Lepisosteus oculatus: one gene and its partners. The protein of the gene in region 4 binds, or shares a complex with, the protein of the main gene of each other region. Links are inferred from orthologs where the notes say so. Each region holds a gene or a part of one and is shown on either strand. Other genes may lie near its edges.

Region 1 (7,470 bases), on a different chromosome or scaffold from region 4:
TGGTCTTTGACTTCAACATTTTACTTTTTTTTAACTATTGTCTATCTCTTCAGCCTTGCACTCATACATCTACATAATATACAAAGATAAATATATATAACCTACAGTCCATTTATATATACGCTAGTATACACATATAATCCACTGAGTTTCTACCATAGTGAAAATATTTAATCTTACAGTCAACTCCTTAAAGAAGGAATGCCAGAACTATCTTGTGAAAAATGTAATCAGCTAATAAAGTAACACCACAGTACCTTTCCTTGGGTAAAGTCCCCTGTGGAGAGCCTTGCTGGTATGAGGTGTGCTGAAGGGCCTGGTAAGGGACAGACTCCCCTGCAGGCTACGCTCAAGGACTGCACAGTCATAAGCACTCAAGTGCCTTCTTTTGGCCTTCCCTAGCTCAGAGCAAAACAAACTGCTCAGACCAGGTATTGCGACTGTTATAATGGGTCAAACTGTACTGGAAAACCACATATTGAACCCCTACAAGACAATATCATATTCCCTTCTTTGTAATGCCTGTTTGGAAAAGTGAGGAGGGATTAAACAAAAATAAGAATCTTAGGCAGTCTAAACATAGGAAAAACGCAAGATGTCTAAATCCCGCACTAGTGATGTTCATTCCATCTAAGCTTTCGATCACTTACATTAATGGTTAAATTAATATGTTTAAACAGGCAAAGGTAACATTCCCAAATATTTTACATACAGCTTATTTTAATAATACCCAGAAGGCTTATGGAATCGTTAACCTCAATAACATAACAGTAAGTTAGATGCCACAGCTTTATATACCACTACAATTACAAAAACAAAAGGGGGGAAAAAACCGTAGTTACCTCTGATTGCCGTTTCCATGGTGCTTCATGGTGGTGACGTCCAAAACACCAGCGCGGAACACATGGGTGACCCTGGAGCAAACCAAGAGTGACATAGTGCAGTGCCTGCACTGATTGATCACACAGCCCTGTTTAACTAGCGTGCAAAATAACTGGCATGTTTAAATAGTATGCAAAGCCATGTCTAAAACAGAGGGGATATTAAAAAGTTTGCAACAACAGAATTCACAAATCTCAAAATAGCTATACCATGCTACATTTTTTTAACAATTCTTTTAACGTATTACAGTATAACATTAGTACAGCCATCACCTGAAGGTGAAGCAATTCCAGTGCCACACTGCACTCAGATTTACTGTTTGCATGCAAAGCCCTTCCACAGCTCTTTTGTGCCATAAACACAGAGCTTGCCCCTTAAGTCTTAATGCATAACCAAAACCGAAATGTCTAAAGGCTTCGGCTTTGCATAATTGTGTTTGAACTTTTTTTTTTAACTTTTCAAAACAGAATAACAACACAAGTAAAAATCACACAGAGACTGGGAGCTCACATGGGGAGTTAAACGAAAATTTCCGCAGGACAGCATAAGCCACTGAACCTTGTGTCACAGTAGCTAGGTGCTTGGGTGAATAAAAAATAATCTTTGGCAATGAATGCAAATAAGTGTGACCTAAAAGTACCTTAGGTGGGTAGCTGCGTCAGCATGCGTTATGCGTTTGTGTTTATGGCACAAAAGAGCTGTGGAATGGCTTTGCATGCAAACAGTAAATCTGAGTGCAGTGTGGCACTGGAATTGCTTCACGTTCAGGTGATGGCTGTACTAATGTTATACTGTAATACATTTAAAAAATTGTTAAAAGTACCTCAGTCTACACCCAAATTCACCAGAAGGCAGCAAGCAGACCTGCCACAAAAAGGTGCCATGCCACTCCCAGTCACAAGCAAATCAGTTAACAGTGTGTAACACAGGCCTGCCCAAAGACACTGGCACTACATCTGTGACAGACAGGGCCAGCACACTTTAGGTTGACCTGCCAGTATTGCGCAAACTGAATGTGGAAAAGGTGCTGTACCTGCTTTTTAAAAGAATAGAAACCAGTGTCTAAGTGTTTTTTGTTCATTGCTATGGAGACCGGGAAAAAAAAAATCACTGTGAACTTTGAAAACACACCTTACAAAAAAAAATGCATTCATTTTCTAACTGCTTCTTCCCATTCCGGGTCACAGCAGAGCTGGAGCCTATCCCATCAAGCAACGGGTGAAGGGGCAGGGTACGCCCTGGACAGGACACCAGTCCATCACAGGGCACACAGACACTCACACCAGGGCCAGTTCTCCCAGAAGCCAGTTAACCTACCAGTATGTCTCTGGACTGGCGGGGAGACTGAGGCACCTGGAGGAAACCCACATGACCACCGGGAGAAGATAGTTACTACACACGGACAGCAGAGCAGGAGTGGAGCCCAGCGCTAAGAAACAGTACTGCTAACCACTGCGACACCGTGTCACCTGATGGAAAATATTTTATTTTTTCAAAAATAAATCCCGAAACTTTGTATTTGTTTTTGTAACCTTGGTACAACCAACTTAATTACATACAAGGAGTATGCATTTAATTGTAGGATGCACACGCTCTCCCCAGTTGTAACGGAGAGGTTACAAATACTATTTTTCATCTCAGTGGACATGTCTGCGCTTAATCACTGTTTAGGCCTAAATGCAGTTCACACATTAATGTGACATTTTCATTGAAGTTTTGTTTTCCTGCCAAGGAAAACATCAGCCAACTTGATCGCAGCCTAGTTCTTGTTACATTATTATTTTCAAGCCTTATACTTTCAATAGGCCAATACACAACAACGTGACTGTCAGCTAGGCGTTCACTCCGAATCAAACTAGAACTAATAAACATTTTCATTGGAGTCTGATAAGCAGCAATTCCAGCAAGTCCAGAGATGACAATATTTTAAGGATGCCAAAATCCAAAATAAATAACCCTTTTAACAATTAAAAATCAACATAGAACGAAACAAGGTTAGAGAATATTTTTTGTTTCCTCACCTGTAAACTTTGATGGTCTGCTGTGAATAAATAATACCAATTACAGTCTTGACAATAAAGACGTTTCCCTTCCACTTTCAATATGACGTTTACCACACTTCCAACTGCGGGTCACCCAGACTGACCAATGGGAACGCCTTTCGTCATGCAGGTTGAGCCTATGATAGGTGACGTTTTCCTTGTTTTACCCGCCTTCCTTGACGTAGTAATGTCGTACTTACGGCATGGCTTTTGCTGCGCCGATCAAACGGTTTAGCTTGGGAGAAAAAATACGTTTTGTTGGAAAACTGGAAGATACATCCAAATGCGATATTCATTTTTGGATCTATAGCTGTTAGTAATTGCATTGTGGTGAAGACGCTTTTCTGCTCGAAGTGCTATTTCGTATAGTAAAACTGTCAGTGTATAACGCAGGGATATTTTTTGTTGACCCGGCTTGTAACTTAACTAGCCAGCATCTGAACTGCAATGTATCTAAAATAGTCGTATTACGATAGGCAATGAAAAGATGAAATAAGCATTTTTAACTTACCTTTTCTGGGTGACATACTAGCATACACGCCGTGCAGCAATCAAGAACTAACAAACTGGAATTTACAAAAGCGGAAATGTCCCATGTGCAATTTTATTTTTTCCAGTGAGTTACATTATCACAATGGGAAAAATAGATGTTAAAGTTCGTATAATCACAAATTTGTATTTTAACAATAGATGCACCTTGCCAATAAACTAGTTGATTGACTTTTATTACAATATGGGGGAGGAAGATACACTCAAATACCTGGTCAAGTTAACGCAAGAGGGACAATTGTCTCTAATCAGAAAGGTGTTAAGTGAAAAGGAAAACATTCGGAATTTGATCAAAAGGAAACATTTCGGAAAATCTGGAGACACGTTGCTACATTATGCTGCTAGACACGGTCACCTGGAAGTCTTAAAGTTTTTAATGGAAGACACCGGTTTGGACATAGAGCTTCATAACAGCGATTATAAGACGGCTCTGCACGAAGCGGCGTCAATGAGTCACAGGGAATGCGTGGTGTATCTCATTGCGAAAGGGGCGAATATAGACCGTTTAAAGAAGGCAGACTGGTAAGACTTTGATTAATGATGAATCAGGTCGTACAACCACAGTTTGTGTTATTGTTGGAAATGCCAACCTGCAGCTCATTTTCATCGTGTTCGGCATACTGCAGTACTTGGACATAATACAGTAGACTGCATACACTCTGGACACATAGCAGCTCTATTTATATTGCGTTTTGTCTGAGTTTATTTTATTCTATTGCATTATTATCTATTATTATGTAATCTTATTTTTGTGATTTTTATCTCCCCCGGTGAGCTCATAGAAAAGACATTTCATTGCCAGTAACTACTGCTACATGCTGTATTGATGTGCATTTGATAAATAAACCTTGATGATTTTTTAGCACTTACATGAATTTTGATTGAAGGTGCAAGTAGGATCACTCTCTGCATACAGCCTGACAATAATTCATCATGTCAGAGTAAGTAGTGAAGATGAATAGTGAATGACGTAATTTGGGAGACTTTTTTAACTAGTGATGTATATTGTAGACAAACACCTGTAGCGTTTACAGGTTCTTTTCAGCAAAAAGGACCAGTGGAGACGCGGTTCACAAACCAAGCACTAACTTTATTCATTAACAACCACTCAAAATAAAACATAGGATATACACGCACATGACGAGACTGACGGAACACGTACACAACTTTAGGGTGGTAATTACTTAACAACACGCTATACTTTTATAAGACTACACAGGGCACTAGAACTACTAGGACATTATTTACACAGGTAGGGTCAGCCGCTGGTCATCGTGCTGACCCTCAGACTCTCCCCGGCTACCACTCCCAGCATGCCCAGCGGTACTACGAGCGCCTAGGGGCGCTTCCTCCTCACCACCAGGCGAGGGCGTTACACACCACTTACAGAGAGACTATATATATGTACAAAACAGGTTTAGTCACACCCGAAGAGGGCTCATCAGAGATTTAATCTTTACTTGTTCCTAACTAAAACAGTTCTAACTTTTAAAAAATGTTATAGCTAAATGGCTGTTAAAAGTAGCCTACATTTTGTTAAACAAACTTATACGGTCTTGTTATATGTTTAAAACATGATGAAATGAGAAATTAGTCCATAGTTGTCCACCAGGGGGCTTCCTGAAGAATAACCGCAAACCCCTTGCTGTTCCGGTTTAGAAAAATAACAAGAGTACGACACTTCTGTATTTACCTTCCAGAAACCAAACTGAACAAATCTGGTACATGAAGAAAACCTGGAGTCTGCTCGACTCTTAATCTCTCATTCTGAATATCCAGCAATGTGTGCACAATGCCCCCTTAACATTTAACATAAAGACCCGAGCCCTGGATTTGTAATTTGCTCAGGCTGTAAGAACTGATCCACGCTGTTAGCATCTGCCCCTTGGCATTAATAACATGAGTTATTAGTATGCAAGAATTAGCATATAGGCTTGCGTTCATGGTAATAAATAGAATTTCAAGTTCTAAGAGCACCTGATGATTCTTTGTTTTTTTTTTATTCTAAACTAAAGTAGAAGTTACTTATTGTCTGTGGTGTCCATTTGGCAATGCCAAGTCTAGTCAATGTGGCTGATTAGTACAGGCCTTTTCTATTCACAGAAACTGCTGCAAATGTGTACTCAAAAACACATTCTTGTCAAGTGGTTCTTTTTTATTATTTCAGCCCACAGCACCAATAAGACAAGTCAGTGATGCAGTTCTCACGAGTAGCACTTCACACTCAGTTGGTGAGCCACATGCAGTAGGTCACCCTTGTGTAGCATCATGTAGATGATATTCTTGCCTCAAGGTCATGCGAATCCAGCAGTGCCGAATTGTGCAACACCATTGCGAATCCCATTCACAAAGCTGTGCTCCAAATGGGCACATTTACTTGTTGGATCACGTAGAAACCAGATTGAAATGTGTTTTGCCTTAAAAAAATATCAGATCAAGAATTATTTACCCACCAAAAATCTTAAAACCTGTGTAAATGTGGGTCATTCTACAGTATGTTAATATGTTTGTAATCCAAATTATAGTCCCTTTTAAGAATTTAACACATCGTTAGTTTTTCTCTCCTTGCAGGACGCCTCTCATGATGGCCTGTACAAGGAGAAACCTTGATGTTATCAAAGAATTGATTGAAAATGGAGCAAAGCCAGCGCTGAAGAACAAAGATGGTTGGAACTCTTTCCACATTGCATGCCGAGAAGGAGATCCCTGGGTCATACAGTACCTGCTGGACACCTGCTCAGGAGTGTGGAAGACGGAGAGCAAGACTCTCAGAACTCCACTGCACACTGCAGGTAAATCAGGAATGAACAGATCTGTCTTCTCAAATTTATCTTCTTCATAGGCATGAGTACAAAGACGGTTTCATGCAGTACCTAAAAGATTGACAATAAAGAATTATGTGTATTATTAGATGGGGATAATTTTAGTCAAAATGCCCTATCTATGGATCTTGTTGTTCTCCAATAAGTAGTTATCCTAATGTGTTAAGTCTACAGCTCTTGGTGTAATGTATTCCAAATGAATTATTTCATCCTGCGCTAAGTATCTATGTTCTTTTTAAAGAGTGTAATAGAATTATTCATTATTCAAAGTAAATTAAAAATAGATCAAAGATTAAGACTGTTAAAGGGGGAGAAAAGGGGAATGAGAGTGATAAGATCAGCTGGGGGTGATCTTATCACTGTCCTAATGGTAGTTGTCTAAAGATAAGTGGTATATATTACATAAACACAAAATATTGATCATCTGTATACTAAAATCTAATTCTATTGCTGGAGGCAAACAGCAGCTTGGAAAAAAAATCAGAAAAGTGAGAACTGCCAAAACAAACAGCTAAGCCTGGAAAAATACAGATGATGTCACGCTGCTCGGGGTAATCAATGCATATAAGTCCCTGTAAGTACTGAAAGGCAGGCACAAATTCAGAAACCGTCAGTGTGTGAAATGTTCATGAATCAGAGGATTTCACTGTTGCCGAAATTAAGCTGCTGTATGCAATATAGCATCTAGGAAGGGGAATAAATTGATATGAATGTCTTGAAAATTATAGTTCAATAATCTCTGAGCTTTGGTTTTGAAAATTGTACATCTGTTAAACAAACCCTATTTATGACATCTGCTTTGGAAACAAAGGCAGAGTTGGATAGCAGAGCTAACAGAGGTCAGAAAGTTAAAAGCTGAGGTCAGGTGGATATCAGTAGATATAAGAAAGTACTGTAAATTAAATCTGTTAAATGTGTTACCTAAAGCTGATGTGTTCTAAATAGCAAAGGTATCACAGTTTGTCTTATTTGTGCCTCCAAAAGCATTTTTTTTCAGAATGCATTGGAATTATGAATTCCATTATGAATGGAATAACAGAATTATTCTGGATTTATTTTAAAGTCCTACTTTTTCTTTCTAGCAATGCATGGATGTGACGAGGTTGTTAATATACTGCTCGACAGGTAAGTTTGATAACTGATTGCTCACATTTTGAATACAGACAAACAAGCCT
Region 2 (7,243 bases), on a different chromosome or scaffold from region 4:
TGCCCCACACCGCGACCCCAGTGCCCCCTGACCCCTCTGTTCTGTGACCCCTCTGCCCCTCACCACGACTCCAGTGCCCCTGACCCCACTGCGACCCCTCTGTCCTGCAGGTCAAGGGATCATCAGACAGACATGCTTGTGGAGCAGAGTCCAGAGTTGTCCATACCCACTCAGGACACAGACTGAATCTGAATCTCAGAACAGGGACAATCCCGAGCTACACCAGCGGGTCGGGGGAGTGAGTCCTCTGTCTCATTCTTATTGCGAGAGCAAAACAGACAGGCTGCGACGACCTCTGACCTCTCCAGATTTCAGCTCTGGTGGTTTGCCATCAAACACATAGACAGGCTTGATCCCATTTTCCAACATCCGGATAGTTCTGTAGAACATTCCCATCAGGTGACTGACGGGAACAGAGAGAGGGGTGAATACAGACACACTGACTGGACACTCCAGTACATTAACAGGTAGGCAGTGAGACAGGTTTTTTACCTGGTGGTCTCTCCTTCCTCGTTGTGCAGCACGTTGCCGTCCAGTCTCACAGCTATCAGGAACTGGTAGATACTCATGGATGCGTCGATGGCGATCTTACGGCCTATCGGGTTGGATCGTGAAACAGTGATGCACAGAGACACCGACATGAAAGATAATTCCAATTCAATTCAAGCTTCTTTTTTGGCATGACAAATGAGTAAGATGAGTGTTACCAAAGCAAATCAAATATAATTAACATAAAACAATCTACCGACATTTACAATAAAGACACATCATAAGATATTTTCATATAAACATATGGAGCATTACTGGGAGACAGACTCACTGTTCCTCAGGCTGTGACATGAGATCACATACTGGGCTGCCAGTTCAACTGAGTTCCCTCCTCCCTCTCCCAGTAGGATTGGGACCTGTTGTGATTCTGGCAGGTGTGGGAACTCTGGGATTAGATTTCTGAATTTTGGGAAGAATGTTTCTCTAATCCCAGAGTATCTGTCACAGTGCAGTAGGAAGTGCACCTCTGTCTCTATTTCTCCCCGCTGGCAGTGGGAGCACAGCCTGTCCTCTCTGGGCAGCCAGGTCTGCCTGTGTCCAGGCTGTGGTCACTGAGCCTGTCCTCTCTGGTCAGCCAGGTCTGTCCTCTCTGGGCAGCCAGGTCTGCCTGTGTCCAGGCTGTGGTCACTGAGGCTGTCCTCTCTGAACAGACAGGTCTGTCCTCTCTGGGCAGCAAGGTCTGCCTGTGTCCAGGCTGTGGTCACTGAGGCTGTCCTCTCTGGACAGTCAGGTCTGTCTGTATCCAGGCTGTGGTCACTGAGCCTGTCCTCTCTGGACAGCCAGGTCTGTCTGTGTCCAGGCTGTGGTCACTGAGGCTGTCCTCTGAACAGTCAGGTCTGTCCTCTCTGGACAGTCAGGTCTGTCTGTGTCCAGGCTGTGGTCACTGAGGCTGTCCTCTCTGGACAGTCAGGTCTGCCTGTGTCGCCCAGTTTCTGTGGCCAGGCTGTGCTCACTGAGCCTGTACTTCATCAGGGTCTGGTTCGTTTTGCTGTTATTTATCTTGGTTAGATATTCGGCTAGTGCTTAAGGTTCTCACAACATGCTCACAACGTTAGACAACAAGCCCCCCCTCCCCTCACGCCACTCGGGGCACTTCAGCTCCCGGGGGTATTTCACAGCGGGGGGCACAGCGCACCCCTCTCACCACAGCCCGGGAGACGGCAGGCGGTCAGTACCGAAGTAGTTCTTCATGTCGTTCTCCTTGATGGCGCCGGGCGCCTGGTCCGCGATCAGCTTGGCCAGCCCGTGGATTCCCATGGCGACGGCCGCGGCTCCCTGGGACCCTGGGGGGCGAAACCAACGAGCCCGTCAGCCCCGTCGCGCGCCGCACGCCACAGCCCGGCGGCCCGCGGATCTCACTGGGGCCCGTCGCCAGGCTGCGCCCTGCGTCGTCGCAGACTGCAGCTGCGTGGGTGGGCCAGACGAACCCCTCGCTGGTGTTTCCCCCCCACAATCGATTACTGCAGCGCCCCCGCTCGCTGGGGTACCCCGAGGCTGCCCTGAACAAACTTCATCAGCCAGGCTCCTGCCCCGGTCTAGTGCAAGTGATCACATCACTCCTGTCCTGGAGTCCCTGCACTGGCTTCCAGTCAAATTCCGTGTGGACTTTAAAATCCTCATGCTCACCTCTAAGGCTCTGCATGGCTTGGCACGTCAGTACCTTTTTTTTTTTTTTTTTTTATAATGATAATGTTTCTTTATTAGCCCTATACAATTTCTTGCATTAGGAATGCATCTTTTCGCATACCCCAGCTTTTCTCCATGGAGACACAGACACAGAGACAGGGAGAGAAACCTGTCTGAGCTATTATCGCCCTACTCCCCACCTCGCGACCTTCGCTCTTCTAATTCTGGGCTCCTGTCTGTGCCCCGAGCCCGTCCACACGGGGTGACAGACACTTCTCCTCCTGCGCCCTTAAGCTCTGGAACTGTCTCCGAAAGGATAGCAAAGTCACCTTTCCCCGACCGTTTTCAAATCCGAGACTCCAAACCATCATCTTCTACAATTAAAAGCCTTTTAGTCAACTGTGTTCAGTGATAGCATCAGCGTCCGTCCCGTGCGGGTCTCGACGGGGGGTCTTGAACCCGCGTTTCGCGGCCACGGCTCCCACCAGCCGGTCCTGCACACAAATCATCACCCCTGAACCCGAAAACACAGCCGCACGCTGGACAGTGGGGCCAGCTCCGTGCTGGACGAGACGAGCGCGGACAAAAGGGCTTCACCCCCCGGGTTCAGCGCTGCGCCTCTTGCAGCTACTCCTGGGACACAAGGCGGGACCGCTTCTGGATAAACAGCATCATCCTTACCAAACCACTATGTCGTTTCCGAAATTCCTTCCACAGCCCTTTCGGCAAACAGCGGTGCCCGAGTGCTGCTCTCACGCCCGGCTGCAGCTACCGCGCCAATACCATGCGTCGCTTTCGCGCGAAACTCGGCGACCAAGCATCTCTCATCGACCGTCGAGCGAGTCCACGTTCGAGTCAGGGGGATCGATCAGTTGCATTTGATTGGTGTTGCCTGACGAGGAGTGATCCAGGAAAGGGCGTCGATCGACGCAACATTGATGCCATTTTTAATGTCATTGACGTGTGGCGCTAAGGCTCGATACGCGATATGTTATGCCTGCAAAGGCTTTCGCTCCAACCGTGAGCAGCCTTGAAGCCTTTGAGGCGCCATTTTGGTAATGGGAGAGAATGTTACCGAAAGGACAAGTATCTTTTTTTCTTTTTTTTTAATCTAAAAATTGAAAAAATATCACAATCAAAATCTGAATTTCGTCTTAACCCTCACCAGCTTTGATTCCTATAAAAGATTATGATCATAGCTTTCAAAACAAGCTGTATTTTCAAGTTTCTAAATAGATAGTATTTTTCAGTGTCACTGAAGGAACAAATGTACCAGAAATCGCCTGAGGTGATGCGAGCGTCTTCTCTATTAATCTGTTGCGGTTTGATAGCTCACTAACTTATTTTCTAAATGAAAACTTTCCTTTACAGCATATCTCCAGACTATTTCCAAATGTAAAAACACGAAAGCTGTGCGTACCTTATCTTTAATTACCTCATTTAATCTTTTTTTGGGGGTAAAATACAACTGTATTAAGTACTCCTGATAAAGTTGTATGTACTTTTGCAATGAGTGTATGTAGTTCTGTTGCTACAATAAAAAAAAGTTTCCTTTACCAATATGGCCACCACACCTACACGCCCCTTTGGCGTCGTCACACACACACACCTATCTCCTCCGTGGTGACGTCCTCGGGGCAGGCCCCGCCCCACCCGGAACAGCCCGGCTGGAGGTGTTTGTTTGGAAGTTGACGTGGATTAGGTGTCTGCTCTGCGCCTGCCGCGGAACCCAGCTCGGGTTGAGACCAGCCGGCGACATCCGAGATCCCGCGGGGCCCTGGCCTTGGTGGAAGACGGAGAAGAAGAAACAGGTCGCAGCACCCCCCCACACACACCACACACACACACCGAGGACTGCGAGCGGCGTGTCGCCGGAGTCGGAGCCCGCTTCTCCGGCAGCTGAAACGGGCAGCCCCGGGGAACGGACGGGGACGAGGAAACGGGCCGGGGTACGAGCCTAACATTTCGCTGCGATTTTAGACGTACAGGAGCAGCGCCTGGCAATCTCTCTCTCTCTCTCTCGGTCGGGACAGGCGGAGGGAGAGAGTGTTTGCGCCTGGCCGGGCTGGACGCAGAGTGACTTGTCCTTCTCCAGAGGCGCCGGTTCTCACCTGCCCGCGGGGCTGCGCGGTCTCTGCCTCTGTCGATACGGCGGGGCGTCTTTCCAAACCCGAGCTCTTCTCCGCTGTCGGTGCCGGCTCCTTCGGGAACCCTCCCCGTGTTTGCAAATGTGAGCGGGTGAAATTGTGGATCGGTGCATTTCATGTTCCGTCTACAGAAGGACTTTTGTTCTTCGTCTTTAAAAAAAAAAATTGAATGTAGTTTTCCTTTATGAGTGATTAAGCCGCGTGTACAACTTCTCGTGACCTGTCTGTGTATCCAAGTTGGATATTTGTTGGTAAGGGACTGTGTGGAGTCTGTATGGTCTTCCTGAGTCCACACAGGGTAATTGGTGTCTCTCAATCGTCTCTCCCAAATGTGTTTGGGGTCCGGTCAGTGTGTCTGCAGCAGGGCTGTCCAGTCCTGGTCCTGGAGGGGTCAGTCAGTGTGTCTGCAGCAGGGCTGTCCAGTCCTGGTCCTGGAGGGGTCAGTCAGTGTGTCTGAAGCAGGGCTGTCCAGTCCTGGTCCTGGAGGGGTCAGTCAGTGTGTCTGCAGCAGGGCTGTCCAGTCCTGGTCCTGGAGGGGTCAGTCAGTGTGTCTGCAGCAGGGCTGTCCAGTCCTGGTCCTGGAGGGGTCAGTCAGTGTGTCTGCAGCAGGGCTGTCCAGTCCTGGTCCTGGAGGGGTCAGTCAGTGTGTCTGCAGCAGGGCTGTCCAGTCCTGGTCCTGGAGGGGTCAGTCAGTGTGTCTGCAGCGGGGCTGTCCAGTCCTGGTCCTGGAGGGGTCAGTCAGTGTGTCTGCAGCGGGGCTGTCCAGTCCTGGTCCTGGAGGGGTCAGTCAGTGTGTCTGCAGCGGGGCTGTCCAGTCCTGGTCCTGGAGGGGTCAGTCAGTGTGTCTGCAGCGGGGCTGTCCAGTCCTGGTCCTGGAGGGGTCAGTCAGTGTGTCTGAACCCAGGCTGTCCAGTCCTGGTCCTGGAGGGGTCAGTCAGCGTGTCTGCAGCGGGGCTGTCCAGTCCTGGTCCTGGAGGGGTCAGTCAGTGTGTCTGCAGCAGGGCTGTCCAGTCCTGGTCCTGGAGGGGTCAGTCAGTGTGTCTGCAGCGGGGCTGTCCAGTCCTGGTCCTGGAGGGGTCAGTCAGTGTGTCTGCAGCAACATGGTTTGTGTCTTGTAGAACTCGATATACAGGTTCCTCTAAATACCTTCTTAACGGACAGACAGTGTGCCTTCAGACGTAACACCACAGCCAGTGTGCGCATTGAGTCTGTGTCTCTCTTTAATTCAGGGAGTTATTGGCATGGTTACAGTGTTCCCAAAGCAGTAACAATTAGTACAAATACCTACAACAGTAACATATTATTAGTAGGAACAAGTAATAGGTTTATTCCATGCTGAAAAAAAGAAGAAAGAGAACACAACGTTTCGGCCGTGGAGCCTTCTTCAGCTCACACCTGAAGAAGGCTCCACGGCCGAAACGTTGTGTTCTCTTTCTTCTTTTTTTTAGCATGGAATAAACCTGTTACTTGTTCCTTTGCAGCCTATGCATGCTGACGCAGCTACCCATCTGAAATATTATTAGTAGGCTGACTCTCTGTTCCTCAGGCTGTGACAGGAGATCACGTGCTGGGCAGCAGCTCTGTTAAGTTTCTTCTCCCAGTAGGATTGAAGGCTGTTCTGGTTCTGGCAGGTGTGGGAATTCTGGGATTAGATGTGTTATTTTAGGGAGGAATATTTGGCTTATCTCACAGTGTTTCTCACAGTGCAGCAGAAAGGGGATCTCTGGCTCTGCTTTAACTTGATGGCAGTGAGAGCATAGCCTGTCCTCTCTGGACAGCAATGTCTGTCTGTGTCCAGGCTGTGGTCCCTTAGCCTGTCCTTTCTGGACAGCGATGTCTGTCTGTGTCCAGGCTGTGGTCACTGAGCCTGTCCTCTCTGGACAGTCAGGTCTGTCTGTGTCCAGGCTGTGGTCACTGAGCCTGTCCTCTCTGGACAGTCAGGTCTGTCTGTGTCCAGGCTGTGGTCACTGAGCCTGTCCTCTCTGGATAGCAATGTCTGTCTGTGTCCAGGCTGTGGTCACTGAGCCTGTCCTCTCTGGATAGCAATGTCTGTCTGTGTCCAGGCTGTGGTCACTGAGCCTGTGCGCTCTGCCTGTGTCTGGTTTCTGTGTCCAGGCAGTGGTCACTGACGATGTCTATAGTCACCCTTCTCTTCCTCTCACAGAGGCTGTCATGATGATAAGACTGGGGTTGCGATTGGCTGGCGGGGGCCTGTGGGCTTGTCTGCTGAGCTGCTGGCTCCTCCCCTCAGGGGGCGGGGCAGCCACCTACAAGCAGGGCGACCCCGTGACCCTGTATGTGAACAAGGTTGGCCCCTACCACAACCCCCAGGAGACCTACCATTACTACACCCTGCCAGTGTGCAGGCCCAAGGAGGTGAGTGAACTGTGAGTAAGGTGTACCGCAGGGGTTCCCAGCCCTGGTCCTGGTGACGCCCACACCTGCTGGTCTTTCTTCTGATCCTTCAGTGAACTAGTGAATCCAAGTTTCGGCGGCCAGTGAGTTGGTGGGCTTTGAGCTCTTAAGTCCCCCAAGACTGAAAACCAGTAAAGAGCTTCAGTTGATCCTATGTCTAGGCCAATTAAGAGCCCGATTGTGCAAAGTGAGAGCTCGTCTAGAACAGAATCTGGCAGGTGTGTGGAGCACCAGTGCACCTGGTGTAAAGGAAGAGCAGAGTGTGAGCAATATGTGCCAAAGGAAGGAAGCGCAACGTTTCGGCTGTGGAGCCTTCTCCACAGCTCTTCAGAAACTGAAATGTTGTGTTTCTTTTCTTCTCTTTTCAGCCTGGAATAAACCTTTACTTGTTCCTTTGCAGCCTGCGCATGCTGACGCAGCTCCCTAACTACTAGACATTTCATTACCAGCAGCTACTGCTGCAGGCTGTATCGTTGTGCTTTTGAGAAATCAACTTTGATTGATTG
Region 3 (7,018 bases), on a different chromosome or scaffold from region 4:
TTCAGCAGGTCAAAACACAAAAACACGCCGCTGTTTTCATAATACCATAACTCACACAAAGAAAAGGCTATAAGACAAAGACTCCAAATTTCATTACACAACTACATCTACATTAGATCGAATCGAATTTTATATCATTATAAAAAAAAAGTTCCAGTGTGTGATTTTATGCAAAGCACTGTCATTTGATAAAGTACATGGTATTTAATTTTAATAACCCTGACGACAGACCGGGAAAAGCAAGGTCTCAACCCCTGAGTTGGTAGAGATTGTTTATGGTTACTGTACCAGATCGGGCCTCGAAACCCGAGAAACTTATTTTCCTACTGGAAGTTGTTTTTTTTTTCTCTCCTCTTCGTCCACACAGTTAACAACATAGAAAACAGCTGACCGTTGAGAAGTAGGTTATATTCAATAAAAAAGTGATTAATCACAAGTGAAATATCAAGGCCCGTGTTATTACTTCGGCTCAGAATAAAACTTATGATGAACTATATTTATAAACATCACACACGCTGAGGTGTGTGTATAAATTGTCTTCTAAAGTAAAATTATATTATTTACACAAGACAAATCTAAGGCAAATTTGTTTTTAAAAACCGACAGCACAAGTAGACATTTAAAATATCAACTTAACAAAAAAAACCATGAATAAATTTAGATGAGTTAAATCAAAAAGAAACTTACCTACAGTATTTTTGCTCGGACAGACTTATCCGTCCTATGGATGCCGCCATACTCTGACAGCTGATCCTCTGAAATTATTAACTTTATTGACAAAACACAGTGTTTTGACACTACTGCTGCACAGCGGCAGGGGGTGGCGCTGTTGTGGTGACGTCAATGTAACTGGTCTTGTCCTGCTTATTTCAAGTTTTAGAAACATAGTATACATTAGTAGCTGTTTATTTCTAATTAAAAGTTTTTTAAGCTTTCGGGCTTTCCATGCAATTGTTTTGCCTGCATCGACACACGGTAGATCTGGGGGAATAGTTTAATCATATTTATTATATTTATTTATAATATTAATATCAATAAATTAAAGATTCAGAAAATCAGGAAAACGTTCAGAAAACGTAAAGGCTATTTTCTGTGTCAAATGGCCTAAGGCCAATGATCTCAAGTCTGCTAATCTCACTCTTAATCCGTTTACAGAAAGAGCCGTGTGAGAGTGGCGCTGTGGACCAGACACAGTGAGAGGTACCATGTGTTTGTCATCGGGTGAAACTTATTTTCTCCACATAGAGTCTTCTGTTCTCTAGAAACCAGTGTCCCATGACACTGTATAAGGACATGCTGCCAAGAACGCGCTTAGGAATGAAGGCCTTGTTCCTACCCCAAACCTAATTAGGAATGGCCTACAGTTATCACTCTTTCCATTAAACTACTGTACCTTTTGAAGGTTGCCCGTGGTTAACATAAATACTGACTTCTAACAAATTCGATTTACTCCTCCTTCCCTAGTACGTAACTTTTCTAAGGAGCTATAAAAGTTCTCAAACATTTTAGGACTTGTAGCAAAGCACTGAAGTGTCATCAAAAGCAGGCAGCCATGAACTGTCAGCGCTTGGTCCTTTTGGTGGTACTGGCATTTCTAACCATGACGCGTGAGTTCTTCTAACTATCGCTTATTGTGTTATTTGGGTTTTATATAAGAAAACTTTGGCGGAAGGAGAGAACTGTTGTCTGTAGCATTGATGATTGCAGCACAATATGTTAAGCATTTTCATGGCTTGAAAAGATCACAGGCTCAGCAGAAATGTTAAAAATATTGTAGTGCCGTGAAAATGTCCATGATCTGACTAGATTACTTACTGGATACGCTGCTATTCATTTCTTCCTTATAAAGTTCCCATTCAACCCCCACATGAAGTTTTGAAAGGTTTGAACACAAGCTAAACATTGACAATATATTGAGTGTTGTACCTGTAGTTACAGTACTATGTTAAATTTTGTTTTAAGACAAACGAATCTGAATCTTAAAAAACAATCTAATCCTCTTTTTCACCAGATGGGGCTGAGGTGGGATCCAGCTTTCCTTGGGGGTGCTCAAATTACAGCGGGGTCTGTCGTACTGCATGTCTGCCTCAGGAGTTACCCTTCGGACCTCTGGGCTGTGACAAAGGATTTGTGTGAGTGCAGGCGGCTCTTGTTGCGTTTCTTCATCTACAGCCACATGCGATAAACAGACCTGGCTTCAACGTGCTTGGACCCTCCAAAAATAATAGCTTTTAAAACAGGTTCTCCTCTCTTTAGCAAAAAGCAGCTCACCACTAAATTCTGTTCCTTCCAATCAAGTATATTTTAGCACAAGATCTCAGAAATGCTCTTTATGAAAAAGAGATGGCGCAAAATGAAGTATTCCAGTGTCTTAATGTGTTCGAATATCAAGTTTTGTGAACGGTGTTACTAATTGCGCCCCGTTCTCAGAGTACATGCCAGTTGTCATAGCCCTTACCTCTCTGGTATTGAATCAATGGACAAAACAATGTCAGAAGAGACCAGAACCCCCGTTTCAGTTCCAACCATGATCAAGTGCTGCTTAAAGTAGTTGTTGTACTTAGTGCTGTATTTTTTTTTTCAATTCAGATGCTGTGTGTCTCATATCTTCTGAGGACCAGAAGCTTCCATTTTCCAGCTGGCTTCTTATCGCTCAGGATTTCCAAAGTGAATCTTTAAATATTGAACATGGCTGTGTTCCTGCTTTGTTTTCAAGTCATTCACGATACTAGCAGTATTTCAAAAGATCCGGTGCAGATATTCCATTTTCCCATGTGTCTCATCCTGTCATTACCAGAGCATTTTCTTCCCCATGTTTTTCCTGTAACCAATACTGTAAAGTTGGGGGGCACCTCTGTTTACATGTTAGGACAATAGTAGTAATATACTGTCTCAGTGAAGCTTCTTGCTTGGAACATATGCAATGTTTGTTCATTACAAATCCCAACATAAAGAAAATAATGTCTAACATAGGTCAGACAAGATTTATTTGTTCATTTTCCAATGTACTTGTCTCTTTCTAAAGAAGGAAATCGCAGAGATCTGAATAAGTCATTTATTTTTGTGAGACATACGGTAACTTATACACCTTTACATATACCTTCGTAAAAGGGCCCAGTGCTTTAGACCATAAAGCTTGTAGTATTTATGTTTTTTAAAATACCATCTGAGCTGGGTTTGTGTGATTGCATTTATTAAAATGGCCACTTTCCATTTAGTAAATACTTAATGCTACAATAAAAATAATTTCCCTTTTTTTCTCTTTATTTGTCTCTCAAATTTCTTTCTCCACAATTGTGTAAAATTCCGTATACATTCACATTTATGTAAATGAATGGTTATTTTTTTGATGATTGAGTTATGCCACCATCAGGCCTCAGGTAATTCATTTGTTCACATTCAGTTTCTGCTTTGTTCATGCTTCAATCTGAAGAAATGTTTGGTAATGTGTAACAAATTGCTTAATTTTTTAACATTCTGGTCTGAAAAAAAAACTAGAATGGAAAAAGTATTGATATTAATAGAACTCTATGCTACATACTGTATATGCAAAATAATAATATTATTAATAATAATCATCATCTCAGTCCTTAATTACTTTTCTCTAAGAGGACTAGTAAAACCTGCTTTACATAATAAATAATATGTTAAAAGTTTTAGAGGTAATTAGAATGTTTCAGAAACTATTTGAGTGAAGAACTGCAGGCATCAACGTGAGAGCTGCACAGCTGAACTTGCAGAGGTCGTTGTCACACTGAAAAGTACAAGGAAACCGCGAAAGTTTCGACAGTGAAACCGGGTTAAAACGAAGAAGAAAAAGAAAATGCGTGTGGAAGATAAAAGGGGGGATACAGAGACGAAAAAGCAGGCAATGGATTTAATGGAAAGCTGCGATTCTCGGTAAAATGGAGTTCGCGGCAAGGCGAAGTGGGAAAGGTAATTTTGACCCAGGCGGGCCCCCGTATAGAAAGTTGTTTACCGTTTCTAAGGGAACGACCTCTTCACCTTTGAACTCCAGTCTCGCATGGGGACGCGATGAGGAAAAACAGAGCTTGAGAGTCTTTCCCGCCTGAAACAGGGAGCTCGGCTCGGCAGAGTAGGGGTGGTGCGAATACGACCCGGACAGACGACGGAGTGGGCGCTATGGATGACCTCTACTTAGACAACATTGATGAATTTATCCATGATCAAAACAAAATCGTGAGTACGGGTTTGTTAAGTGGATTCATTTTCCGCGCTCCCTTCAGAGCCTGAAGGTCGCTGTTCGTGCATTTTGCTAAACTGCCCACGATTCGCGGTGGTCGGGCGCATCTATCGACATAAATCAGCACCTACATCCTCAAGTTAATGGTAGTCGCTGGCGATGAATGAGGGAGACGTTTCTGTTTTCTACAACACGTAAACAAGCGTTATGCTACATCTACGAACAGCGGCAACGGCGTGAAACGGCCAGCAGGCTTTTCTGCGTTGTGTTACAAAGACGGAAGCGGTCTCCGAGAATTAGGTGCTGGTGTGTTCAGTGTTGGCTGTCGAAAACGGACACGTGGTTAAGCTGAAGTTTCAAACAACACTAACGATAGGGGAAGGACATCTGACATGAGTTTGTCTGAAAGCCTAGCGACCTGCGGCAAATGTCACGTACACCTATGTACCGAAAATACGTCAGACCTCACGGCTGGCATCGGCAGTATTTTGAGTTCAACAGAATAGCATGAGATCTGTAGTCCACTAATTTCAATACCTGAAGGGTGTTCTGTAGAGTTTTATTAATTGAATGCCATTTGTTCTATGTGTTGGTCAGAAATGATCGAGGGAAATGTTTATTGGACTGCACCTCGTCCTGGGCCACCCTTTCATGACTCTAAGCTTGTTAATGAGACTTTCTAAATTCTTGCTTATTTCAGACAGTCCCTCAGCTCTGAGTGAGGCACCCATTCAGATTTCATTAGTGGGTGATTCTTAAATGAATGCATGACAGCTACCTTGTACTGTTACAATATTCTTGACAGTGCTTTTTTCATTCAGGTTACCTACAAATGGCTTTCTCTCACCTTGGGAGTTCATGTCAACCAGGCAAAACAGTAAGTGACATCCCACCCTGTATCACTGTCACAATCTGAATACTTCCCTCCTTTCATTTTTAGTATATTGTGTTTATTCTGCTTGCATTTTGGAGATTGTCAGTGCAATTTGTGTATTCATCACTGAGCAAGTTAGTTTAGCAGGTATAATCAACGGACTGGGTGCATTTTTCTCGTTAGGTAACAACCTCCGCTTTTATAACAAGGTTAAGAAAAGTCATGTAATTATACTTCAGTTTGAAATCAGATGTTAGGGGCTGGAATCTGGTGTAATGCTTTTGTGCAGTGAGTTTTCTGTGGATAACAAATTCACATAAAAGCGCCTTTGCTGTGCTCCAGGTTTTTATGTAACTTATTCTCATAGAAATCCCAGTAATATGCAGCTATTGTATTTGTGTACTAATTCAATGTTCTTCATTTTAGAATGCTTTACCACTACTTAGACCAAAAGAGAAAGGAGAGCTCCGGGTCTCAGCTTCACGCCACTTACCTGGTGTCTGGTAAACTGACGGAGAATGGCAGCACGGTGAGCAGATCAAGGCATGGATTTGAGGAAGAAACACAACCGAGGAGATGATCTGTACAGGCTGCCGCAGGGCTACAGCGCCTCGAACGCCTTTGGTTTCCGTGACACAGCCTCATTCGCCGTACTGACTTTGGAAACACGAGCCTGGTCCTACACGTGTTTAATAAGAAAGTTTGCAAATAAGAGGAGGCTCTTAGTGGCTAATTGATCCTAGCATCTCACGCAGCCATTATTGGGAAGAAGCAGTGGGATGGGCTTTGACAGCGTGGCTCAGGTGCTTCCTGTTCTCCGGACCACAGGGTCAGAGCACATAGTCGCGAAGAGAGGAGTCTTGGTCAGGTTCGGTGGTATAATTCAGCACTAATTGATCTGAGAGGAATCTTTTTTTTTTTATCTTTGTCCTTCAGAATACCTATCAGTCTCTGAAAATTGTGGACTAAAAACTGTTTCTTTGCAGAGTCACAAGGTGGCAGTAGTGAGAGAAGATCAGCTCGAAGGCAAGTTGGAGAAACATTTGGTTTTATTTAACCTGGTTCCAGTTCTGACTCTTAATGTTTGTTACAACCTAGACCGGGTCAAATCTGTGGGGCCTACAAAGAAATCTGAGTTCCCCGCTCTTAAGATTTTATTCAAAAGCAACTGATGTTTCAGGTTAAAATCTCTTTCAGTACAAATGACAGGAATGCGTTTTGGTTTTGCCTGAGCTTTTCTTCCCTGGAGTCTTACAAATGTCCTTTTTTTAATTGACTCTTTACAGCTGTCAAGTCCAAGATGGTAGTGATTGCCAGTGTGCATGTGTACAGCATTCAGAAGGCGGTGCTGAAGGACAGTGGGCCTCTGTTTAACACAGATTACGATGCTGTAAAAGAAAATTTAAAGAATTGCAGCAAGTAAGTCCTGAATAAAGAATTAGAGTCGTGATCATCCTACACTGACAGACTGAAGGAGCTGAAGTTTTGGTTTTAGTCTTCGACAGAGAAGATTGCGGGGGGACCTGCTACATGACCTACATGGTCAAGCCAGTGGATTTCTTCAGAATGGACAGTGAAGAGCAAACCAGAGGGCTCCGAGTGTAGACTATGTGGAAATGCATTTAAAACCAAGAAGAGGAGACGCATCTTTAACCATAGGGTTACGGGGGAAAATAACCCAATCATGTTCTTTTAAGAAGCATGTCAACAGTTAATTTCTGAATACCTAATGCTTCTCTCGTTTGTAACATTTCTTATGTTCTTTATGATTCTAGTTTGACTTTATCTTACTGAAGGGCACAAAACAAGTTATATACTGTAGTGATGATCAGAAAAAGTATAGTGCAGTGTGGAGTGCCGTTGAGGGCTCTGGATTCACAGCTGGAAGATTACGTGTGCCGATGGCAGGTTTGGCTCTGCTGTTGTGCTTCACTCTGATT
Region 4 (7,970 bases):
GTACTTAAACGATCAGTCTAGCGTTCTAATCACTGGATCGTTAAAAACCTGCTCCCTCGGCGCCGACCTGGACTACAGGACCACCGACGAGCCCGGGACCCTCTTCAGGAGAGGGGCACTTACTGGGATCCCCAGCTGCTCCACATCGAGGTCCATCAGCTTCATCTCGTAGTCCGACACCTTCTCCTGATCTGGGGGGGGAGGAGACGAGAGGGAGAGTCAAGCTCCTGGCGCCCCAGGGTGAGCTCCACTGTCCTCTGGAGCAAAATCACAGCACCGAGCACAGCCCATCACCAACCCCGCCCGGTGATACAAGCCGAAAACAGGAAGAGGCCGCTCGGACTAGTTAGCAGCGGCTACCTGATCCTGTCCGATAACCATCGCCTGTTCCACACTCCCACCCCCCCTTTGTGTAAGGGAGTTCCACAACCCCGAGCTCACAACCCACTCACTGAGCGTCTCGAACACCAGGGCCAGCGTGTCGGCGTTGTCCTCCGCGCGCAGCGTGATGATGTCCTCGTTCCCTGCGCACTTCAGGATCTTCGACATGCTGCAGCGACAGGAGAGAGCGTCCCTGAGTGGCCCCGCAACTGTCCGGCCCCCCCAGACCTGCCGGGTCAAAGCTGCCACTCTCCGCCACCCCCACATCCCGGAGAGACGGGCCCCTTCGCAAACGTTCGGGAGCGAAGCAAGAGGTAAGGGTTTATTCCGCGCTGGAAGAGACAAGTTCGGCTCGGGAGCCTTCTGAAGGGTGAATGAGGCTCCACAGCCAGACCCTCGTCTCTTTTCCTTTTCAGCACAGGAATCAACAGGAAGTTTCTGGACTAAACGCATCTACTGCTACATCTGTTCTCTTTCTTTTCCCCCGTTTACAACCATTTTTTGTGCAATATATGCCAGGGACCTGTGCAATACATTTATATGTATATCTATATTTATATTCATATGTGTGATACGATTTTTCTGTGTACTGTTCTGTTCTAGTTTGTTCTTTGTGTGTCCGGACTGTGAGTAACTCTTGTATTGTATTGTATGTATTGTACTATTATTATATAATTCGTTACACTGTGGCTGTGTTGTGTGTGTTAAGCTGCTGTTGCACTGCAATTTCCCTCACGGGATCAATAAAGTATCTATCTAACCTTGACTTGCGGCTTTGCAGCCCAGCCATGCCGACGCAGCTCCCCGCCTGAACTTCTTCAACGTCTGGGGACGCCGTTCATCTATTTATTGACCATCAGGGGGATTTTAAAATCTAGTCAGCCCAAAAAAATCCTCACCTACAGTGACTAGCAGCAGGTCATCGGAGAGATGTCCCAAATCAACACCCCACATGCCACCTGAGCCCACATCTCTCTCATCCCGAGACAGGACACTGAACTGCTGCTCCTGGCCGTCTCCCTCAGGGTGATCTGCCCCTGCACAGCGAACTGTCGGACACCTGCCTCTGTTCTGCGAAGGTGCATTATTCATGTATCATCTACAACGCGTCCATCGCCATTGCAGGGGGAGTAAATTTACGGGCTCTGTCTGCTTATGAAATGTTCTATTCGTTTGAAATGTTTGTTTGTACGGTTTTCTGGAAGTTTCTGTGCGCAAATCGGGCTGCCTGTATGCCACACAAATCTCTGAAGAATCGCATATAGTATTTTATGGCATCGATCTTCTGAATCTAAATGTTAAAAACTGACACTCACTCGAACAAGTGAGACGCTGATCATGCTCAGACCTACAGGGCTGCGTCTCTCCCTGCACGCAGAGCACATTGTACTTTCCCGCCAACAAGACCCCCGTTTGCGAATTTGGCGCCGAAGTGACGTCACGGGGCAGGGGCAGCCATGCCGCCTTTTGATTTCCTATTCCGTTTTCCCAACTCGTGGCGCCAGAGCAGCAACAAAAAAAAACCATCCAGGCGCCCGAGTTCACTTTGACACAAACTTAAAAGGGGCAAAACAGGGCATCTACACGCCCTGTGATTTACAGGCTGAGTGCTCAAGTTAAAAAAGCCGGAACTGAAATACAGACCTCAGGGATAACATTTATGAACTTATAACAGCGATGCACCGTTTATTATTCTTTAACGCATCCTGGATTGCTATTTCGAAAAAAAAAAACAAACGCAACAGATCAATAGCGCTGTATATTATATAAGTTATTTTAGTCATTTCAAATTCCCAGAACGGTTCAGTCAGGTGACGGAGCGCCAGTCCGGAGATCCGCTCATGTACAGACATGCCCGGCGCGGCGCTACTACTCCAAGCACAGAGCACCGTCCGGGGAAACGTCAAGACACCCGGGTCACGGGGGAATGGGCTACTACTACTTTACTGACCAGCACCCGCGAAAACTAGTTCCCTCTGCGCCACGGCGCGCAGTAATTATTTACAACGACTTCACCGCTCTAAAACTCAATGTGAAGAGCCGATCGACAGCGCACTTTATAACCCGTGTTAACAGGCGCTTTGGAAAATACAATAATGCATCAGATACGCAAGATCCGAACCCGGGTGTCGGACAGCAGCGCGCGGGAGGGCTGCCCGCGGACGAGACCTCCTCCCGGGACCGGCTCGGCCCAGCTCAGCTCACCTGCTCAGGTTCACCCCCATGGCCAGGTTGCGATCGCAGCGGTAGGAGTCGAAGCCGTCGCTACGCAGCGTCAGCTGCACCAGCGAGACGTGCGAGGAGTCCATGCTCTGCAGCGAGATGCCGGACGAGCTGATGTCCCAGCACGCCTCGGTGATCAGGTCCTTCAGGGCCTCCAGCACCTTCTTCAGGATCGAGCCCTGGACCAGCCGAGCCTCGAACATGTTGCAGGAACGACCTGTGTGTGCGTGGGCGTGCAAAAAGAGAAATGGGTGGAAACGCAGGTTCCTCAAGCGTCAGGCTCAAAGTTATTGACTCCTGGCTAAATAACCGCAGCAGCACTAACTATGCTTGCTACTCCGGCGACTGAAATACAAAGACGAGCTGGCGGGAATCGCCGAGTTTTATTCTTGTTCCTCTGACGTCACTACAACCCCTCCGCCCACATCCGGGAAACCCCGACCGTCACCCAGGCGATGATTGGCTAAGACGCGCGTGCCTTGGTTTGCGCGCAGCATAGAGACGACTAAAACACTGCGATTTTCATCAGAGGTAGTCAACTATATACCCAGGGTCAAACAAGCACATTATGAAGTGCGATGTTGTCCTCAGTCGGTCGTGCCGACGAGGCGAAGCACCCAGAATCGAGCGCGGCAAATCACTGGGAATGACACCGAGATCAGCCAATCACCGCTGGGGAGACGGTCGGGGACAGCCCGCCCACCCGTATCCGCCATTTTGGCTCTGGCTTTTCCGCGTTTACCCTTCACTTCAGCGAGCCTCCTCGCAGACTGGGTTCCCATCCGACTCGACCCCTGGAGGAAGTGCCGTGTAGTTTAAAAGGGCGCTAATTTGTTTTTATGTTTTTTTGTTCTGAAACGCACAAGGGAGTTTGTTGAGTCAGGCGGTAAAAACATGGCCTGTTGACACATTGGACCACATTTAGAATAGGCATAAAGTGCTGGAAAAGAAAATGTGTAAGAACTGAAAGTAAAGGATTTTTAAGGTGATTGATTAGTATTTTTCTCATGTAAAATCAGGGATGCAGAGCAAAGGTACAGTATTCCGTGATAGGTAAAACTAAAAAATATATTTTTTAATCAATTAAATGAGCGCTTTTCATCAAACCTCTGACAACTGGACAAAAATATCAAAAGAAATTGTCTTCCTGAAACCAGCGACTACTCTTTTCATTCGGATTCCTGTCCTTACACCCACTTTTAATGAGTGTTAATAAGTGAGACACAAACAGACGAGAAAGGGAGAGAGGATCAGCACAGCAGTCTAATAGTAATGAACTAAAAGATGTATTAATATTCCAGGATCAGCAAGGTCTACAGTCTCAAACTCTGTTTCTGGAGGGTGCTGGCATCTAGATTGTATTCCAACCTGAGCAGTCAAACAATTAGCCTAATTATTTTCTGAGCTGGACATATGCCTCATTTTTCTTGAAGTCTTTTATGATTACACTGAAGGTACAGATACCTATACCCCCCTCTGAGCCTGGCTAGATGTATCACAGCTGTGCAGCTCGTGAGATAGACCATCAGTGCAACAGCGACTGTTCAGAAGACGCTGGGCTTTGCAGGCACCCAGCTCTGCTGGAGGAAGATGCCCTCGTGATGCTCCAAACCTGGGCTGATGAGTAGTAAAAGATACCACAGGGGCAGAAGGAACTTGGTGGTTACCATCATCCCTCTGAGGTTTAATTTCCACAGCACCGCCGAAGTCAGCAGGTCTACAAAATTCAGGTTGGGAGCCTATGAGCATAATCTCAGTCTTCTCAATCAAACAGCATAAATCTCCATCTGTCACAGTTAAATTGAGCATAATCTCAGTCTTGTCAATTAAATTGAACATAATTTCAGTCATGTCACAGTTACACTGAGCAACATCTTGGTCTTTTCCATTAAATTGATCTTAGTTGTAGTCCTTTCCAGTACAATGTGGATACAAGAAAGGTTTAATGTCTGATGGAGTTTGCCCATGCTGTCCCATGGGGTGCAGCGATTGACAGTATCAAAACGCAGCACTTTAAACCAGGAGAAGATTATGGAGTGACCCCAAGTTCAAGCCATGATGAATTAACTACTTTAACAACCGATTTACTTTAACCTGGATGAAAAGGTTTGAGGATCTCACTGGCAGCCACGGAAGATTGCAATTGAGCCGACACCTCCCTTTCAGGACTCTTGGGTAGGAAAAGGAGATCAGAAACAGGACAGCAGTTGTTAAGGATCTCCACATCTAGGTGTGAAGTTTGCGGTTAAGAAAAGCCTGGCCTAAAGGAACAAGCCCCGATTTCTGGGACTCACCGATGAGGGCAGCAACTGGAAGAGAAGAAACTTCAGCTACTAATACCACTTACTGTGCCGCCGATGGGAGAAATTCAAACCTGTGGACGGAGAAGACGAGGTCGTCGCGACAGCAGGCGCAACTGGTTAAGGAAAGTGATGAAGACTGGTGTGAAAACTACACCAATGAGTTGCATTGTTCGGGAGAGGGAAAACAGCAGCTAGTTCAAACATTTTACTGATGGCATAAGAAAGGACTGTAGGAGTACTGCAACCCCTCTCACACGATTGCAACTGTTAGTTGTGTTCCTGCAGAACTAAGGTACACTGTCAAGTGTACACTCAAGGCAAGTCGGACCTTTTTAGGTGCATTTACACGGTGTTACTCTTGTACGTGTAGTGCTGTTCTGTTTTTGTAAACTCGGTAAATTGCAGTAAATGAAGTCATTAGACAAGTGCTTACACTGGAAAAATAATGCTAGATGATAAACCAGCAACACGCAACATAAATCAAGAAAACACTTTCATCATTTAGGCCTTTTTATTGCATCGTGTTGAGGATCCAGTTTTTCTCCGGACACACACACACACGCTCTGCGAACCGTTTACGTGTACAAACAGCAAAAACGTCTTGTCATTCACTCTGCTCCGACAGACACTCAGAGGCAGGGCAGGACGTAGCGTGTGGCCATGGCCAGGATCGGCGCTCCGGTCGGGATTCCTGGGAAAGGGCCGGAGGAGCCGGCGATGTCGATGTGGGAGTAACGCAGAGGCTGTTCGGAGTCCGTGCCGTGCTACGGGTGAGAGGGAGGAGTGAACATGTCAGTACAGAGCAGAGTTTCCCCAAGTCCAGATCCCAGGATCCTACATCCAGAGCGTTTTCTCTATGAGTCTTATCTACAAAAGCTCAATGCAACAGCCCAGACACTGCGATGTGGAGGACAAGGGGTTCTGGTGTGTAGTGTGTACAGTTGTGTGCTCGATGTCCAGCCTAGACACTGCGATGTGGAGGGCAGGGGGGTCTGGTGTGTAGTGTGTGTACAGTTGTTTAATGTGTGGATTGTTGTGTGCTCGATGTCCAGCCCACACACTGTGATGTGGAGGGCAGGGGAGTCTGGTGTGAATAGTACAGTGTTGTTTGCTCAGTGTCCCAGTGTCTTGATGCCATGATGAGGAAGGCTGCAGGGCTCTGGTGTGTAGTGTGTGTGGTTGTGCGTTGTGTACCTTGTACAGCCCTGATGCCATGATGAGGAAGGCCGCGGGGGTCTGGTGTGTAGTGTGTGTGGTTGTGTGTTCTGCAACTTGTCCAGTCCTGATGCCACGATGAGGAAGGCCGCGGGGGTCTGGTGTGTAGTGTGCGTGGTTGTGTGTTCTGTGCAGTTTTGTGTACCTTGTCCAGCCCTGATGCCATGATGAGGAAGGCCGCGGGGGTCTGGTGTGTAGTGTGCGTGGTTGTGTGTTCTGCAACTTGTCCAGTCCTGATGCCACGATGAGGAAGGCCGCGGGGGTCTGGTGTGTAGTGTGCGTGGTCGTGTGTTCTGTGCAGTGTTGTGTACCTTGTCCAGCCCTGATGCCATGATGAGGAAGGCCGCGGGGCTCTGGTGTGTAGTGTGCGTGGTCGTGTGTTCTGTGCAGTGTTGTGTACCTTGTCCAGCCCTGATGCCATGATGAGGAAGGCCGCGGGGGTCTGGTGTGTAGTGTGCATGGTTGTGTGTTCTGTGCAGTGTTGTGTACCTTGTCCAGCCCTGATGCCATGATGAGGAAGGCCGCGGGGCTCTGGTGTGTAGTGTGCGTGGTTGTGTGTTCTGTGCAGTGTTGTGTACCTTGTCCAGCCCTGATGCCATGATGAGGAAGGCCGCGGGGGTCTGGTGTGTAGTGTGCGTGGTTGTGTGTTCTGTGCAGTGTTGTGCACCCTGTCCAGCCCTGAAGCCATGATGAGGAAGGCCGCGGGGGTCTGGTGTGTAGTGTGCGTGGTCGTGTGTTCTGTGCAGTGTTGTGTACCTTGTCCAGCCCTGATGCCATGATGAGGAAGGCCGCGGGGGTCTGGTGTGTAGTGTGCAGTGTTGTGTACCTTGTCCAGCCCTGATGCCATGATGAGGAAGGCCGCGGGGCTCTGGTGTGTAGTGTGCGTGGTCGTGTGTTCTGTGCAGTGTTGTGTACCTTGTCCAGCCCTGATGCCATGATGAGGAAGGCCGCGGGGCTCTGGTGTGTAGTGTGCGTGGTCGTGTGTTCTGTGCAGTGTTGTGTACCTTGTCCAGCCCTGATGCCATGATGAGGAAGGCCGCGGGGCTCTGGTGTGTAGTGTGCGTGGTCGTGTGTTCTGTGCAGTGTTGTGTACCTTGTCCAGCCCTGATGCCATGATGAGGAAGGCCGCGGGGCTCTGGTGTGTAGTGTGCAGTGTTGTGTACCTTGTCCAGCCCTGATGCCATGATGAGGAAGGCCGCGGGGGTCTGGTGTGTAGTGTGCGTGGTCGTGTGTTCTGTGCAGTGTTGTGTACCTTGTCCAGCCCTGATGCCATGATGAGGAAGGCCGCGGGGGTCTGGTGTGTAGTGTGCAGTGTTGTGTACCTTGTCCAGCCCTGATGCCATGATGAGGAAGGCCGCGGGGCTCTGGTGTGTAGTGTGCGTGGTCGTGTGTTCTGTGCAGTGTTGTGTACCTTGTCCAGCCCTGATGCCATGATGAGGAAGGCCGCGGGGCTCTGGTGTGTAGTGTGCGTGGTCGTGTGTTCTGTGCAGTGTTGTGTACCTTGTCCAGCCCTGATGCCATGATGAGGAAGGCCGCGGGGGTCTGGTGCCCACGGGGGGTGAGGGTGGAAGGCAGGTTGTTGCTCTGCAGGAGATCCTCGTACTCCGACTTCCCGCGGTGGAACTCAAAATCATCGCGGCGGATCATGGACACCTCGAACACGTCGCCCAGCACCTCCCCCGCTGGCACAGAGAAAGGACAAGGATTGAGCACGGGGAGAGGAAACGCGGGTCGTCTGCGACGCGCGACACGGCTACAAGATCAAGCACAGACGTGCTCACAGCGCCGGCGCCTCTCACCCTGCTGCCACTGGTGGGCGTTGCCTGCCTTGCGGGCCTCTCCGTTGTC

The links. The genes of interacting proteins can lie anywhere in the genome.
Region 1: the proteins of pcna (region 4) and fbxo18 are in contact, whole or in part, in a crystal structure (PDB 8F5Q), measured with the Homo sapiens proteins. The link is inferred for Lepisosteus oculatus from reciprocal best matches to the Homo sapiens genes PCNA and FBH1. Residues at the interface, in NP_002583.1 of Homo sapiens: Met40, Ser43, His44, Val45, Ser46, Leu47, Leu126, Gly127, Ile128, Pro129, Ala208, Asp232, Val233, Pro234, Tyr250, Leu251, Ala252, Pro253, Lys254, Ile255; in NP_835363.1 of Homo sapiens: Ser56, Gln57, Arg58, Cys59, Ile60, Pro61, Phe63, Phe64.
Region 2: the proteins of pcna (region 4) and fen1 are in contact, whole or in part, in a crystal structure (PDB 1UL1), measured with the Homo sapiens proteins. The link is inferred for Lepisosteus oculatus from reciprocal best matches to the Homo sapiens genes PCNA and FEN1. Residues at the interface, in NP_002583.1 of Homo sapiens: Cys27, Asp29, Met40, His44, Val45, Ser46, Leu47, Ala67, Met68, Gly69, Asn95, Ala96, Asp97, Leu118, Met119, Asp120, Leu121, Asp122, Val123, Glu124, Gln125, Leu126, Gly127, Ile128, Pro129, Glu130, Gln131, Glu132, Glu201, Pro202; in NP_004102.1 of Homo sapiens: Arg19, Phe27, Gly28, Arg29, Lys30, Lys80, Val167, Lys168, Ala169, Gly170, Pro188, His208, Ser210, Arg211, Leu296, Lys297, Trp298, Ser299, Glu300, Arg332, Ser335, Thr336, Gln337, Gly338, Arg339, Leu340, Asp341, Phe343, Phe344, Lys345.
Region 3: the proteins of pcna (region 4) and pold3 are in contact, whole or in part, in a crystal structure (PDB 1U76), measured with the Homo sapiens proteins. The link is inferred for Lepisosteus oculatus from reciprocal best matches to the Homo sapiens genes PCNA and POLD3. Residues at the interface, in NP_002583.1 of Homo sapiens: Met40, His44, Val45, Ser46, Leu47, Glu124, Gln125, Leu126, Gly127, Ile128, Pro129, Thr206, Ala208, Asp232, Val233, Pro234, Tyr250, Ala252, Pro253, Lys254, Ile255, Glu256, Asp257; in NP_006582.1 of Homo sapiens: Ala453, Asn454, Arg455, Gln456, Val457, Ser458, Ile459, Thr460, Phe462, Phe463, Gln464, Arg465.

The regions. Positions count from the first base shown.
Region 1 is NC_090702.1:43,577,028-43,584,497, forward strand, and holds the start of fbxo18 (F-box DNA helicase 1), read right to left. Parts: upstream 3,013-7,470; 5' UTR 2,904-3,012; intron 915-2,903; 5' UTR 872-914; coding exon 843-871; intron 419-842; coding exon 258-418; intron 1-257. Other genes in the region: ankrd16 (ankyrin repeat domain-containing protein 16), read left to right, coding at 3,658-3,995, 6,045-6,265, 7,378-7,420. UniProt on the Homo sapiens protein: 3'-5' DNA helicase and substrate-recognition component of the SCF(FBH1) E3 ubiquitin ligase complex that plays a key role in response to stalled/damaged replication forks.
Region 2 is NC_090699.1:14,454,828-14,462,070, forward strand, and holds the start of fen1 (flap endonuclease 1), read right to left. Parts: upstream 3,013-7,243; 5' UTR 2,857-3,012; intron 1,833-2,856; 5' UTR 1,807-1,832; coding exon 1,725-1,806; intron 596-1,724; coding exon 493-595; intron 404-492; coding exon 301-403; intron 1-300. Other genes in the region: tm9sf1 (transmembrane 9 superfamily member 1), read left to right, coding at 6,495-6,698. UniProt on the Homo sapiens protein: Structure-specific nuclease with 5'-flap endonuclease and 5'-3' exonuclease activities involved in DNA replication and repair.
Region 3 is NC_090700.1:1,978,509-1,985,526, reverse strand, and holds the start of pold3 (DNA polymerase delta subunit 3), read left to right. Parts: upstream 1-4,006; 5' UTR 4,007-4,143; coding exon 4,144-4,200; intron 4,201-5,025; coding exon 5,026-5,081; intron 5,082-5,504; coding exon 5,505-5,607; intron 5,608-6,064; coding exon 6,065-6,104; intron 6,105-6,364; coding exon 6,365-6,497; intron 6,498-7,018. Other genes in the region: defbl1 (beta-defensin-like 1), read left to right, coding at 1,553-1,607, 2,012-2,132, 2,590-2,614. UniProt on the Homo sapiens protein: Accessory component of both the DNA polymerase delta complex and the DNA polymerase zeta complex.
Region 4 is NC_090697.1:65,499,228-65,507,197, reverse strand, and holds the start of pcna (proliferating cell nuclear antigen), read right to left. Parts: upstream 3,002-7,970; 5' UTR 2,808-3,001; coding exon 2,587-2,807; intron 551-2,586; coding exon 453-550; intron 192-452; coding exon 124-191; intron 1-123. Other genes in the region: putative aminopeptidase W07G4.4, read right to left, coding at 5,537-5,671, 7,623-7,804, 7,922-7,970. UniProt on the Homo sapiens protein: Auxiliary protein of DNA polymerase delta and epsilon, is involved in the control of eukaryotic DNA replication by increasing the polymerase's processibility during elongation of the leading strand.